2 linked regions of the Astyanax mexicanus genome follow. The protein of the gene in region 1 purifies or fractionates together with the protein of each later gene. This does not show direct contact. Links are inferred from orthologs where the notes say so. Each region holds a gene or a part of one and is shown in the gene's direction. Other genes may lie near its edges.

Region 1 (8,197 bases):
CAACCTTATTGTCAATGGCCTGATGCTCTAACTTCTAAGTATTTGTTAAATCATGGATGGTGTACGGTCTGAAACAGGGTTGTATAATCCTGATCCTGGAGATCCACAGCCTATCCACAACCTTCCCTTCCAATCTTACACACCTGACCCAAGTAATTAAGGTCTTCTGGGATATGTGAGTGGGCTAAACTAAGGCTGTGTCCCAATTGACCAGTTAGTACAAAAATTATAAATGTACTAAAACAGAAGTGATGAAGGCGTTCTCCAGCATTCTGAAGTGTTTTCATTTTTTTTTTACATTTGTATATATTGCTAATACTGCAATAAAAATGTGGTTTTACAGCCACCTACTGCACTTAATTTCAGTTAACTAATGCATAGTCATCTAAATTTTTCAACTCCTCACTCTCCATTTTGCATTGCATTGTGAGATAAAAGTGTCCGGAGTATCCACGCTGAAAAAACGACCAGTTCTACGTGTGTATTGTGGATATTTGAGTATATTAGTTAGTATTAGTAACTAATATGCAATTGGGACACACCCTAGGGGTGTTGGATCACACAATATCCAGGGTGGTGGTTTATCTCCAGGACCAGGAATAAGCACACATGGTCTAAAATGTTTAAGAATTACTGTATTCTACACACCACTACCAGACCACCACAGCCCAGATTATAACCTATCAAATGTCGCTCTCTAGGGGCTGCACCAGGAACTACCTTTGAGGGCTTGTATCCAAACAGCATAACAACTGCAATTTTAAGATCTTCTCTGGACAGGTAACCTTTCTTCTCCACATCACACTGCTCAAAAACCTGAGGGAAAACAAGAAAAACCAAGATACACAAAACATGAGAGTGTATACAAAGCTAGCATATGGCTTTGATACTCTACAACCCAAACTTCCTTTGATTTGCAGCTTTATTATATAAATGAATCTAATATAAAAATAATAATGAGCTTTATTGATCACCAGAACCCTGGACATGATGAAAGCATAGCTAAATATAAACAATTATACAATTATACTTTATTGGTAACAAGAGGTTGAAACAGAAATATAAAAGGTGAATTTAAGGTTACAGAAGTACTGATTATATATATTATTATTGGTCAGTCGTGCAAAAGAGAGCAATTCAGCCAGATATATCCACCCTCACATCACTTTCCACACACACACACACACACACACACACACACACACACACACACACACACACACACACACAGAGAAACTGTCTATACCCTTTTCAGCAATATTCCACTAAGTAATGTATATTCTCTACTTGGGGTGGGTGATATGGCTTTAAAAGAATATCACAATAATTTAGGGTATTTTCTGCAACAATGATATTCTTACCAATATGAAAAAAAAAAAACATTTTTCAGGTATATAAGTGTTTCAGGTATAAAAATAAAACTGTGTCATTCATTTGTTAAAAAAAAAAAAAAAAAATATATATATATATATATATATATATATATATATATATATATATATATATATATATATATATATATATATATTATATATATATTTATATTTGTAAGTAAAGTTAACTTACCAAGACCCTGACTTTGTATAAAATAATAATGTAAGACAAAAATGTAACAAAATGCAACAAAAATAAAGCAATGTACCAACAAAAATATATCATAAAACTAAAGTGCAGCATACAAACTTTAAACAAATAATTAAACGTAAATAAAACAAATACAAAGAATGAAAAATAAACTGCTTTAAACAATATCACAATATCATGATATGATTTTTTATATCATTTTTTGGGCGATATTATTGCGTATGATACGATATGACAAACCCCTATTCTCTAACGTTACCTCAGTACCTGCTGTGATAATGTATGACCTATATTTTTACAGTATGTCACTTATCTCTGCACTTTATTCTCACTATGCACATTTTTAGACTGTACTGTGTCGGTCACACGGTGTTACAATAAATCTCCTGTTTCCTTTGTAGCGTTACTGTTACTTTTATGGTGCCACAGCGCCCATTATGGTGTTAGCTACCATGCTCTCAGTATTGTGTAACGTAACTACTGTGTTATATATAGTGTAACAGATTTCCTCATGGTGTTAGCTACCATTACTTTAACAATGTTACTAATACCTAATATATATACCTATATATATATATATATATATATATATATATATATATATATATATATATATATATATATATATATATATATATATATATATTCGTAATTATAACCACACTAATATTATGCATTGTGTAGTGTTACAATCAACTGTATGATGTTATTGTTAATACTGTTGTGCTACCATATGGTGTGAATCTCCTTTAATGCTTACACTGTGTAACTTACTTATTATTACATTAATTTTACAGTATGTAAACATGTGTTAGCAAGCTAGCTAACTAGCTAATGTTAAAATAAAGTGCATACCGATAGCTAACTTATATTGAGAGATTTCCCACTGCTACTCAGAGCCCGGATAGCTCAGTCGGTAGAGCATCAGACTTTTAATCTGAGGGTCCAGGGTTCAAGTCCCTGTTCGGGCGATAGCTTTTTCTTCAAGAAAACTATAATTTTAGACTGTAGTTAACATTATTAGTTCACAAAAGAAAGCGAACATCGGGCTTTTTACAACATAGCCAATTAGCCTAAATATTTAGTTAAAGGTACGGTGAGAAGCTAGCTAGGCACTAAACAAAAATAAGCAAAAGTAAACTTGTCTGTTATTTACCTTGCTAGATAAATCCAATGAAAAAAAAACTAAACACATAAAATAAAACACTGTACTATAATTTGAGTAACAAGACTTAAAACTGTTGTAGCTAGTTAACATAACTGTTATCAACAAGCATATTTAAATTAAATACAGCAACAGTTATTTTAGCTAGAGTAAATGTTTTGCACAGTGACACTATTATACATTATAGTACAGTTTTTTTTTTATTTGAGCTTTTTTTATAGAATTTAGCTAGCAAAGTAACCTAACATGCAAGTTAATTAACAAGTTTACTTTACCTGAGCATAGGCTTAGGCTATTAACAATCAACCTTTATTTTGAATCACTTTAAATAAAAAAATATATATTTTTAAATAACAGAGAATAAAAGATTACAATAGATAAAAAATAAAATTTGAGGTTATATTGATAAGAAATTAAACATAAAAAGAAGATAAAATTATAAAATAGAAATCTGTAAAAATTAAGCTAAAACAAACTTACATAGTACAATTTAAAAAATAAATAATAATAATAACAATAATAATAATAATAATAATAAATATACAAATTAACAAGTAATAATACAAAAATAATGAAAGAAATAAAAAACTAAGATAAGAACTAAAACAAGAAATAAAGGCTGTCTGAAGGTGGTTTAAAATGGTTTAGTAAAACCAGTGAGCTGAGTTTCCTTTAGTGAATTTCAGCTCGCTGGTGCTTTATAGCTAAAAGCATTATTATTAGCAAGCTATTCTGAAGATAATATTCTTTTTCTAAAACTAATTCTAGAACTAGTTAAGCTAAATACTTTGTTCGGACTGAATTTCAGCATTACTGAAGCATGAATATACTTACAAAACACCTAAACAGTGTTTATTCAACAACAGCAACATAAACTAAATATTTTAAAAGTCATAAGTCAGAGAAGTGGCTAACTAGTTAACTAGCAGCTAGGTTGGTTAGCACGCTAGTTAGCTAACTAGCTAGTAAGTTAGCGTTACAAAGTTCTGGATAGCGCTGAAAATCTTACCCAAATAAATCTTTTTCTCTCAGTTTTGGTTAGTATCTCTCTGCCAGCACCCCGAACTCCAGACATTTCTCCCTATTATTGCTAGTTAATAGTGTATATAGTAATACTATAGTAATATTTTACAGCTGTAGTACAGTTAGCTATTAGTTAGTGTGCTCTAAACCAGGTAACTAGCATATAACTTTACACCTTAGCCTGCCTTGTATACCTTCGACCAGTCTTCGTTGCCTAGCAACCGAACAGTCGTTTTTTTTAGACAATAAAAGTTCAGTGAAGAAACGTTTAGTAAAATAAATTATTTAAGCTAATAAATAAACAAATAAATAAATAGATAGGCTGTGATCATTCCCTTAACATTTGTGTTACACTTTTGGTAACAAGAAATTAAAACAGAAACGTGAAACATGAAAGTTGAATTTATGATTCCAATATTATTTATTATCTAGATTATTCCATAATAAAATATAAAAAAAAACATAATAAAAGAATAAAAAAAAGAGTCTCAATTTATTAAAACGTTTTCTTAATTTAATACAGCTTTGCTTCAGTTTAGTGTTGAGGGTATTCTTGTAAACTAAAGGAAAATGAGTTTAATTACTAAACAAAAGATTTAGTTTTTAAATTAAATTGTATTTAATGGAGGGGATGATAAAATGTCATATAAAAGCACACCTTGTACAGTGTACACCTTGTACAGTTAGCTAGTTTAGTACAAAATACATTAACTACTATTTAAATTTAATGCTCTAATAAAACCATTCTAATAACACCTATACGTATGAAGGCAGTACAATAATACTGAGGCATGTTCCCTTAATTTAATAAAACGTTCCCTTAATTTAATAAAGCTTTGAGGTTGGGGGGATTTTTTTTTAATGTAGACTAAAGAAACAGGAATTGAGTTAATTATTTGAAAGTATTTTTTTTTTGTTTAGCAAATGCAACCTTTTATTAAATTAAGGGCATGTTAAACAGACAAATAAAATCAACACTTATTATTATTATTATTATTATTATTATTAGTATTATTAGTATTATTAGTATTATTAGTATTATTATTATATTATTATTAAAACCAACTGAACAATGTATTACATTTATTAAACCATTTATTAAATCGTTAAAACGTTTTATTAAAACAAGGAAACGTTTTAAATACCTGAATTATATTTTTGTATATTGAAACCCAGTGCTCCACATTACACACAGACATACGCTTCATATAAAGAGGACTTTTATTTTGAAGAGCTCTGAGTCCAGCGTGTTGATTCAGACCTAAACAGAAGCAAAATCTGCATTGGAGTTCAAAACAAGCGTAAAATAAGCGATACAGAGGCTTAAACAGGCGAATTTTTGTTATTTTCTGTTATTTTATTTGGTGATAGTGCAGCGTCTGCAGTGATTACAGGTTATTATATGAGGTGGAAATAGCCCTAAAGCTGCAGAATTTTCCCGCCGGAGTAAGTTAAGTGTGTGTGCTGTGGGCTGGGGGCTGTGTGTGTAATGCTCTGCAGATGTTGGTGTTTGTGTTTAGGTAAAGCTTACTGTGTAGGAAAACTAAACTATCTAATTTATTAGTAAATAAACTAAACTATTTACATGTGTACGACTGTATGAGTGCACGAATGCTTTTTTTATGTACTAAACCAGATAACTTAACTAACCTAGCAGTTGTTACGTGTATTTCTCTGTAGCTTTTTAAATTAAGTACTTAAATGTAATTAAAATGTATACTAGTGAATTAGCTACAGCTCGCCCAATAAGCTAGCATTAAATCTCTTAAATTACAGCCTGGCAGCCTACTAATTAACATAGTCAGAACTGAATTATCTTTAGTAGTTTCATTCGTTTTAAATTTTATGCATTGGCTGGTTCATGGCCAACAGCCCTCAAATAGTGTTATGTGCAACAAAACATTTAAAAATAAAGAAAAAAAAAACAAGATGTCCATTGTAATGGATGTAGGGTCCAAAAGGGTTATGTCCTGTCCTCCGGAGTGTTTACTGTGTTTAAACTTCTCTAATACATCACATCGTATTTAGCTCCTAAAAAACACATATATAGGTTAGTGTTCTTCCCCATAGAATGAGTGAGGGAGCTGATCTGTAAGTTAGTTATTTTATGTAACCTAGAGTAGATACAATGATATATTTCTAACCATTTTAAATTTTAAATTTTATGCAAAGATTTCTGTTTTTACAGAATAATGAAAATTAATGTAATATTAATTTATTGCAAGAAATTATGGAGCATTTGTGTGGAGCAACTGCCAGATTCAAATAATGCCAAAAACTGAAGAAAAAAAAAAATAAATAAATAAAAACAAACAAAAAAACTGCCATTCAAGATTTTTGCAGGGCATTAAATATATAGGATTGTTTTTGTAGGTATCAAATATTGTTTTTTGTATATATGTATATTAGGGCTGGACAATATGGCAAAAATCTATATCAGGATAGACTGCTCTATGCCCATAAAGAATGTGGTAATGAATGAGTCACCCATTATTAAAAAACAAGGTGGGAAAACAAACTTAAAAACATAACAAAAAAATAAAAAAGGCAAAGTGAAATTTACAATATGTTGTAATAAATATAATCTCAGAATAATAATAATAATAATAATAATAATAAATGATAAAAATAAAAAAATAATAATAGGCTGGGGTTGCTACGTGGTTGTTTTTTTATGGGGTTACTAAGAGGTTGATATGATATCTCAGGGGTTGCTATGCTGTCTGAGTTTGCTTTTTATGATGTTTCTTAAGCAGTTGATAGGTGGTTGCTAAGAGGTTGCTTTTTGATTGCATGTGGATGGCATTTTCTAAGTGGTTGCAAGGGTATTTAAATTGTTGCTATGTTGAATGTAAATATGTGGTTAAAAGTTTACATTCACATTGCAAATCTTGTGTTAGTATTTTGGACAGAGAATGAAGGCTTAATGTACAAATTCTATACTATATATATATATATACAGACAATATTCCACATAAGTGTCGATTGGATATGTGAAAGTTGGAACCCCAAACCTTTCAATGTCTTCAATGACTAAGATTTAAAACAAAGTCCACAAAACAAGTGGAATAATATTAAAATATATATAAAGAATAACAGCACAGTGCTGCATTGTGCAATGCACTAATGAGTGTATAGTGGTTGGAACAGAGAGTGTACCTGGGTTAAAGCCAATAAAATAACCTTGTTGGGACTCCACAAGGTCATAGCTTTGTTTGGTATCCACTGACTCTTTAAATAGTGAGATTATCATTTCATTCTTAGTGTTCTGTGTCTCTGCTTGTATGGGTTTTGCAGAACTTTGTGTAGAACTTTTTTCTAAATTTATTATAATAATTTTAGACCCATACTGCTTATTGACAAGCAGCTTAATATGACTCACCATGTTCCTGTCTTCATAATTATGATTTAGTCTCTTCAAATTAAAAGTTGACTATTGTTATCTTGTCCACCCACTCTGATTTGGTGTAACACACTGTAGAGACAAAGCTGCTGTAAAAGTGCGTTATTTTGAATAACTTGGTGGTCATGTCTGCTTTTTTGTTTCTGCAGTAGAACAGAATGTCACAGGAGAGTCAACACGGCAAGTGGACCCTGTCCGACAGTGACGAAGATGACAACATAGTACCTCCAACACCCCCGAAAAAGCCAGACATCAAGCTAAACCCCAAGCCAAATGTGAAGCCAGACCCAGAGAGCAAAGCCTCTACGGTTAACACTGTTCCAAAACCCAAGCCTGAGCCCAAATCACAAGTTAATGTGAAACCTAAGCCACCAGTTAAGACTGAGAAAATCCCTCCCACCTCCTCCCTCCCCATGGGCTCTGAGGCCCGAGAGGCAGCGCACCTCAGCCAGAACAATCCTGTAAAATATGAAAACAGCTCTTCTCCAGCTCTGAAACGCAAGAGAGAAACCGACGAGGGAGGCTGGAACCTCTCTAGCAGTGATGATGATGATGCAGCTCCTTCATCTGCCCCTAAAACAAAGCCTAAACAGCCGAGCTCCAGAAGTCCACCGAGGAAGAAGACCGAGGAGAAGCGTCCGCCGAGCCCCCACGGTGCTAATTACTATAAAGAGGAGCCCAGCGATTTCTTTGAGGCCAACTTATCAGCTATGAACGACACATACCGCTTTTATTTAAACAAAGTGTCTGGTATAGAAAAGAAGTTCAACACTGGAGCTTTGCACATCAAAGGTACCAAATGTGTTTTCTCACAGAAATATAAAATGTATTTGAACTTAGTTTAAGGTAGTTTAATTAATTATAAATTAATTCATTAATTAACTAATTATTTTTTCCCTTTTAACTCAGAAATACTTTCCCCTATGTTTGGCACGCTGAAGGAGTCCGTCCAGGTAAACAAATAATAAATATATATCCATATATGATGTGTGTTTTGGAAATTATGTGTACAAAAGTAGAGG
Region 2 (7,760 bases), on another chromosome or scaffold:
GTTAGTTAGTTTGCGGAGTTAGAGTTAGCACAGTTAGCCGAAGGTGAACGTACAGTTGACCTGCAGTCTGCAGGGCGGTGTGAATCGCTGCAGTCCGTTGGGGAACACGGCGGTGCACTGCAGCAGTTCCCCGTGGGTTCCAGGAGAGGGCAGCAGGTTCAGCACGGCTCGTTCCTCCCAGCGCTGCTGGAGCTGCCGACGTCCCTGCGGCTGCAGCACCACCTGCCCGGCCCTAACCGAGGTCCAGCGCAGCACCGGCGCCGCCTCCCGACAGGTGTGTACCACAGAGCACACCAGAGACACGGGGACGCCCTCGGCCAGTACACCCGGGCACTGCAGGGATGGAGCAGGGGGCGTGTCTGGAACAGGAAACGGAGGGGTATAATTCCATATATGTATTTACCAGTGGCGTGCGGTGAATATAGTGGGTACCACGCACTTATTGTCACCCCTTCTCTGAAGGGTTAGAAGGTCCTCACTGCACACCACTGGTATTTACACTGATCAAGCATAACATCGTGACAATCTCTAATATAAATGTGATTATTCAGTGTGCGAAGAGTCAGACTGACCGGTCACGCTGAGGGTCACGCGCTGGTCCTTGAACGAGTATCGGTCTTGCCCGTCTATCTCAACCCGGAACATGTAACTCCCGGCGTCCCCCGTCCCCAGCAGCCCGATCTTCAGCGAGCATTCGTTCCTCTCCAGAGAACCCACGATTCTGCTTCTGTTCACGTACAGAGCGTCCACCTGCTCCCACTGCCGGCTGTTACACACCAGAGCCCCGCCCCTGAACCACAGCCCCCTGATCTTACTGGCCGGCGCTCTCGGGCCCGGGTACGAGAAGCTGCAGGGGACATGAACGCACAGCCCGGATACACCAGCGATAGAGGTGGGAACGTTCACCGACCAATCAGAGCCGCAAACACCTGCAGATACAGAAGGAGGAGCCGGGGATCAGCAACCCTTTACCTTAGTGTTCCACTAAAGACCCGCCCCCAAACCTTTTATAGAATCCCTCCCCTCAGTGTTCCACTAAAGACCCGCCCCCAAACCTTTTACAGAAACCCTCCCCTCAGTGTTCCACTAAAGACCCGCCCCCATACCTTTTATGGAAACCCTCCACTCAGTGTTCCACTAAAGACCCGCACCCAAACCTTTTATAAAAACCCTCCCCTCAGTTTTCCACTAAAGCCCCTCCCCCAAACCTTTTATAGAAACCCTCCCCTCAGTGTTCCACTAAAGACCCTCCCCCATACCTTTTATAGAAACCCTCCCCTCAGTGTTCCATTAAAGCCCCTCCCCATAACTTTTATATAAACTCTCCCCTCAGTGTTCCACTAAAGCCCCTCCCCATACCTTTTATAAAAACCCTCCCCTCAGTGTTCCACTAAAGACACGCCCTCAAACCTTATATAGAAACCCTCCCCTCAGTGTTCCACTAAAGACCCGCCCCCAAACCTTTTATAGAAACCCTCCCCTCAGTGTTCCACTAAAGACCCGCCCCCATGCCTTTTATGGAAACCCTCCACTCAGTGTTCCACTAAAGACCCGCCCCCATACCTTTTATAGAAACCCTCCCCTCAGTGTTCCACTAAAGACCCGCCCCTGAACAGTTACAGCCCCTCCCTTTAGTGTTACTGCAAAGCTCTGCATCTCAAAATACAGCCACTCTGTTTAGTGTTTCTACAGCCAAACAACATTGAATAAAGTGTGTTAATCGATTATAGATTAATAATATTTAATTAGTCTAGAGAATATATTTGTATTAATGTGACTGAAATGATTGCTCACCCCACACCCAGAGGAACATCAGAACAGAACCACAGCAGAACCTCGCAGAACCCGACGGCAGAGAGCTGATCCCCGAGCAGAACATCATCATCATCCTCATCAGCTTCATCATCATCAGCTTTATCTTTAATATCCTCACCACACACTGCACCGGAGAGACGCCGGACTGCTAACTGACCCGTAGCTGCTGGAGTGGTGGTGTGTTCTGCTGAAGGTCCGCCCCCTGTGTGTGGGTGTGGCCTGCAGTGAGTGGGCGTGGCTGTTGTGGTGTGCAGTTTAATATATAACTCTCCTCTCTCTGTTTCACTGGAAACCCCATAGTTAGTGAGGAAAGGGGAACCGAGAGCAGCAGAAGAACCTGAGGTCAGCTAAACCTCGCCAGCCGCAGGAAACAACGCCACGGCAACACAGCACTGAAACACAGCACGGCAACAAAACAGCATGGCAACACAATACAACAACATAGCACGGCAACACAGTACAACAACGCAGCACATACCACGAAAAGACAGTGCGGCAACACAACACGGCACCACAGCATAACAATACAACACAACACTGCAACACACCACAGCATAACAATACAACACAGCAACACAGCACGGCAACACAATACAGCAACACAACACGGCAACACAGCAGGGCAACACACCACAACAACACAGCACATACCACGAAAAGACAGTGCGGCAACACAACACGGCAACACAACACTGCAACACACCACAGCATAACAATACAACACAGCAACACAGCACGGCAACACAGCACGGCAACACAACACGGCACCACAGCATAACAATACAACACAACACTGCAACACACCACAGCATAACAACACAACACAACACTGCAACACACCACAGCATAACAATACAACACAGCAACACAGCACGGCAACACAGCACGGCAACACAACACGGCACCACAACACGGCACCACAGCATAACAATACAACACAGCAACACAGCACGGCAACACAACACGGCACCACAGCATAACAACACAACACAACACTGCAACACACCACAGCATAACAATACAACACAGCAACACAGCACGGCAACACACCACAGCACCACAGCATAACAATACAACACAGCAACACAACACGGCAACACAGCACGGCAACACACCACAGCACCACAGCATAACAATACAACACAGCAACACAGCACGGCAACACAGCACATACCACGAAAAGACAGTGCGGCAACACACCACAGCAACACAGCATAACAATACAACACAGCAACACAGCACGGCAACACAGCACGGCAACACAACACTGCAACACACCACAGCATAACAATACAAAACGGCAACACAACACTGCAACACACCACAGCATAACAATACAACACAGCAACACGGCAACACAACACGGCACCACAGCATAACAATACAACACAGCAACACAGCACGGCAACACAGCACGGCAACACAACACGGCAACACAACACTGCAACACACCACAGCATAACAATACAACACAGCAACACAGCACGGCAACACAGCACGGCAACACAACACGGCACCACAACACGGCACCACAGCATAACAATACAACACAGCAACACAACACTGCAACACAGCACGGCAACACACCACAGCACCACAGCATAACAATACAACACAGCAACACAGCACGGCAACACAGCACATACCACGAAAAGACAGTGCGGCAACACACCACAGCAACACAGCATAACAATACAACACAGCAACGCAGCACGGCAACACAATACAGCAACACAATACAGCAACACAACACGGCAACACACCACAACAACACAGCACCACAGCATAACAATACAACACAGCAACACAGCACGGCAACACAATACAGCAACACAGCACGGCAACACAATACAGCAACACAGCACGGCAACACAGCAGGGCAACACACCACAACAACACAGCACATACCACGAAAAGACAGTGCGGCAACACACCACAGCACCACAGCATAACAATACAACACAGCACCACAGCATAACAATACAACACAGCACCACAGCATAACAATACAACACAGCACCACAGCAAAACAATACAACACAGCACCACAGCATAACAACACACGACAGCACCACAGCATAACAATACAACACAGCAACACAAGACTGCAACACAGCACGTTTTAATTTTATTTTATTTTAAAGTTTTGGGACACTACAACTACCTGTTGTAGAATATTCCAAATGTTTCAGATGGGGTAATGTGCTACGGTAACAGGACTGAGTGAAAAAACCAAGGGACACAACTAAAATGTGTATTTTAACTTAAATATTAGGGATTTATTATGAAAAACATATTTTTAAAGCATAGATTTGGAGTCACACAACAATGCAAAAAAATACATTCCTGAAGGATTTTAATAAATATATTTCATGGTAAAGTTTATAGTTAGAGAGGGGGAGAATGGGTAAGTGTTGTAAGTAGTTTTTATTAATGTTTTAAATTATATATCTTACTTTTGCAATAAGGTCAATTAGGTACAAGACACTATGCTTAATAATAAAATATATTTTAAAGTTATTTTGTGTTTATATTTATAGATGTATTTCCTGGGGACAGAAATGGCACAGATTCTGAGGAATTTGCCATATATAATAGTTTTATGCTATATTGCTTATTTTCTCGGTGCTTTGCTGTCTCTCGCCAACAGGTGGCGCACAGAACTCTGGGTCGCGCTCCTGTCGACTTAGGGACCCTCCAGGCCCTGTGTTCACTTCCTAGTGTGCACTACCTAGTGCTCAGTGGCAGTAGCGGATTGGAGCGCGCCCCGCTGGAGGCTCGGTTACGGCGCTGCGGGCGGAGTGCTGCTGCTGCTGCTGATTCCTGCGTTACTCCGCGCGCTGAGAGTTTATCGGTCATTCATCGGTATTTTATCGGTATTAAGAGCGGGATCCGGCGGCGCGCGGGCTCATGCTGTAGGTATGTTGCGGGTTTTTGCGTGTTTGCGGTTTATCCTGTATTTTAAAGCTCTAATTAGCTGTGTGTTATTGTTGCTGTATTGTTATAAAGTGTTGTTAGCAGGTTAGCTTAGCATTGGCACTGTTAGCGGTTTGTTCCGCTGTAGCTGTGATTTATTATAGTTTATTAAGTTTTATTTATGATAAGTAATGATGTATAAAATACTTTATATGCTATTTTTTAATTTAGTAAATGTGTGTGTTAATTTAGAGTAAAGTTTGCTTCTTTTTAGCTGCCTTCTTCTTGGAACTCTCCGTTCCACCTTAAATGCTATATCAATTGCATTCAAGCGCACGATGCTTTTTAAGGTGGAACGGAGATTTCCAAAAGCAGTAGTTTAAAATCAGGATTTTTGTAGTTAATTTTTTTAAACAAATTAAGTTTTAATCTATAAAACCCTATATTTAATTTAATTTATTCATAATTAAGCAAATGTAATTAATAATAAAAAGAATTCCCTTTCAGCAAAAATTAACTACAAAATCCTGATTTTAAACTGCTTTTTTTGGAACTCTCCGTTCCACCTTAAATAGCATTAGGCGCTTGAATGCATGAATGAATGAATTTAAGGTGGACTGGAAAGTTCCGAGAAGACTAAAACTATAGATAAAAAGAGGCAAACTTCATTCTAAATTTTGATCGTAACCTTTAAAAATGAACATGTAACACACAGACTCATTTATATATGATAGATACGCATAAATAACACTTATAAAACATTATATAAACAAAGATTATACCCCTATAACCTACAAACAAATCATAGCTAATATATTCAGCTAGCTTAAGCGATTAGCCTCTATAATAAAATCTAAATACAATGTATACACTAATGTATACACAAATTACATATTAATCCATAATATCCTTTTATAAAAAATTAAGCAAATGTTATTAATATAGTGGCTAATACTTTATAAGCTGTCTTTATACATTGTGTCTATAATATGTTGTGTTTGTAGGTTAAAGTGGTATAAGCTTTGTTTTTATAATGTTTTATATGTTATTTATGTTTATCTAGCATATATTGACTGTCATATGTTTATATATTTTTATATATGTTATCTTCTAAATTTAGAGTGAAGATTTTTTTTATATACACTTTTTATGTATAGTTTTTGCTTTAAATGCTGCATCAGTTGCATTCGAGCACATGATGCTATTGAAGGAAGGTGGACCGTAGAGTTTCAAAAGAAGTAGTTTAAAATCAGGATTTTGTAATTAAATAATTTAAATCTGTAATATCCTTTATTTAATTTTATTTATTAAAAATTAAGCAAATTCTATTAATATAACGGCGATTATTTTAAGCTATCTTTATAAATTATGTTGTGTTAGTAGGTTATAGGGGTATAAGCTTTATTATTTTATAATATTTTATTTTATGATAAGTTACTTTATTAAGGTTAGCCTATCTTGTTAATGTATAGGAAAGTTTATTTATTTATTTATTTATTTTTTTACACTTTTTATCTATAGTTTTTTTGTTGGAGCTTTTCGTTCCACCTTAAATGCTGCATCAGTTGCATTCAAGCGCCTGATACAATATAAGGTGGAACGGGGAGTTCCAAAAGAAGTAGCTTGAAAATAGGATTTTGTAGGTTAATTTTTGCATTAAAGTGTATACATGTTGACAGTTTCATTTATAATATTCTTTATTTTAGTTTATTTAATAAAAATAAAAAAGTGTAAGTAATACAACAGGTTAAATCTGAATGTAGTAGAAACACCAAACAGTGTGTTTAAAAGTGTGTTTTAATACAGAATATTCCTCATTTCATTTTAGTTGTAAACTTTGTTTTTATTATGTTTTAAAAGGATGGTAATTCATCTCTTAGAAATGTAGTTATGTCATGTGTAATTTTGTTTTAAATTAGAGTGAAATGTGCTTCTTTTTACGTGGGTTCATATTGGAATGTTCTTTCCACCTTAAATGCTGTAGCCTTAAGTGTAACTCCAGCACCATTTAAGGTGTAAGGGAGAGTTACTAAAAGGTAGTTTATAATAATAATTCGTTATGTAGATTTAAGTATTAATAGGCGTGTTTTTAAATCCAGGTATAGTAAAATAATTTTTTTATTTCAGAATTTCCATCATTTTTCTTTAATTATCTGAAAATAAAGAAAACTAATTTAATATCTAATATATTTACAGGGTTTCTGAGCGTGCAACATGCCGGAGATTAAACTGAAGCACGTGGTTTCCTGCAGCACTGAGGACTCAGTGAGTAAATGTTTATTTACTGTAGAAATGCGTCTGAATTATTAGTGAGCTTCTGTAATAATTTATATAATTTCTGTTTCTCAGACTCACAAGGCGGATAACCTGCTGAGCTCCGACACGTACAGGAAGTGGAAATCTGCCCGACCCGGGGAGAAGCAGACGTCCGTTATCTTACAGGTTTGAAACCTAATCTCGTCTGCGACGGGAGACGCTACGCTAATGCTGCTAACAGCGCTAACGCTGCTAGTGTTCTAGATCACTAGTGGAACCATTTATAACTTCAGCTTGAAAGAGTGGAGCTAAACTAATCTAACCTAAACTGCTGTAGGCTGAGTGGGTGGAGCTAAACTAATCTAACCTAAACTGCTGTAGGCTGAATGGGTGGAGCTAAACTAATCTAACCTAAACTGCTGTAGGCTGAATGGGTGCAGCTAAACTAATCTAATCTAAACTGCTGTAGGCTGAATGGGTGGAGCTAAACTATATTAATCTAAACTGCTGTAGGCTGAATGGGTGGAGCTAAACTATATTAATTTAAACTGCTTTAGGCTGAATGGGTGGAGCTAAACTATATTAATCTAAACTGCTGTAGGCTGAATGGGTGGAGCTAAACTATATTATCTAAACTGCTTTAGGCTGAATGGGTGGAGCTAAACTATATTATCTAAACTGCTTTAGGCTGAATGGGTGGAGCTAAACTAATCTAATCTAAACTGCTTTAGGCTGAATGGGTGGAGCTAAACTATATTAATCTAAACTGCTGT

Evidence for each region.
Region 2: the proteins of tdp1 (region 1) and xrcc1 purify together in Homo sapiens (affinity purification with mass spectrometry; 4 studies listed by BioGRID and IntAct, with this or other methods). This does not show direct contact. The link is inferred for Astyanax mexicanus from reciprocal best matches to the Homo sapiens genes TDP1 and XRCC1.

What each region holds. Positions count from the first base shown.
Region 1 is NC_064421.1:7,932,507-7,940,703, forward strand, and holds the start of tdp1 (tyrosyl-DNA phosphodiesterase 1), read left to right. Parts: upstream 1-4,995; 5' UTR 4,996-5,218; intron 5,219-7,324; 5' UTR 7,325-7,333; coding exon 7,334-7,967; intron 7,968-8,084; coding exon 8,085-8,128; intron 8,129-8,197. Other genes in the region: efcab11 (EF-hand calcium-binding domain-containing protein 11), read right to left, coding at 721-816, 3,759-3,824. UniProt on the Homo sapiens protein: DNA repair enzyme that can remove a variety of covalent adducts from DNA through hydrolysis of a 3'-phosphodiester bond, giving rise to DNA with a free 3' phosphate.
Region 2 is NC_064408.1:133,563,989-133,571,748, forward strand, and holds the start of xrcc1 (DNA repair protein XRCC1), read left to right. Parts: upstream 1-4,586; 5' UTR 4,587-4,734; intron 4,735-6,927; 5' UTR 6,928-6,945; coding exon 6,946-6,996; intron 6,997-7,080; coding exon 7,081-7,173; intron 7,174-7,760. Other genes in the region: sialic acid-binding Ig-like lectin 13, read right to left, coding at 54-359, 573-929, 1,795-1,909. UniProt on the Homo sapiens protein: Scaffold protein involved in DNA single-strand break repair by mediating the assembly of DNA break repair protein complexes. Negatively regulates ADP-ribosyltransferase activity of PARP1 during base-excision repair in order to prevent excessive PARP1 activity.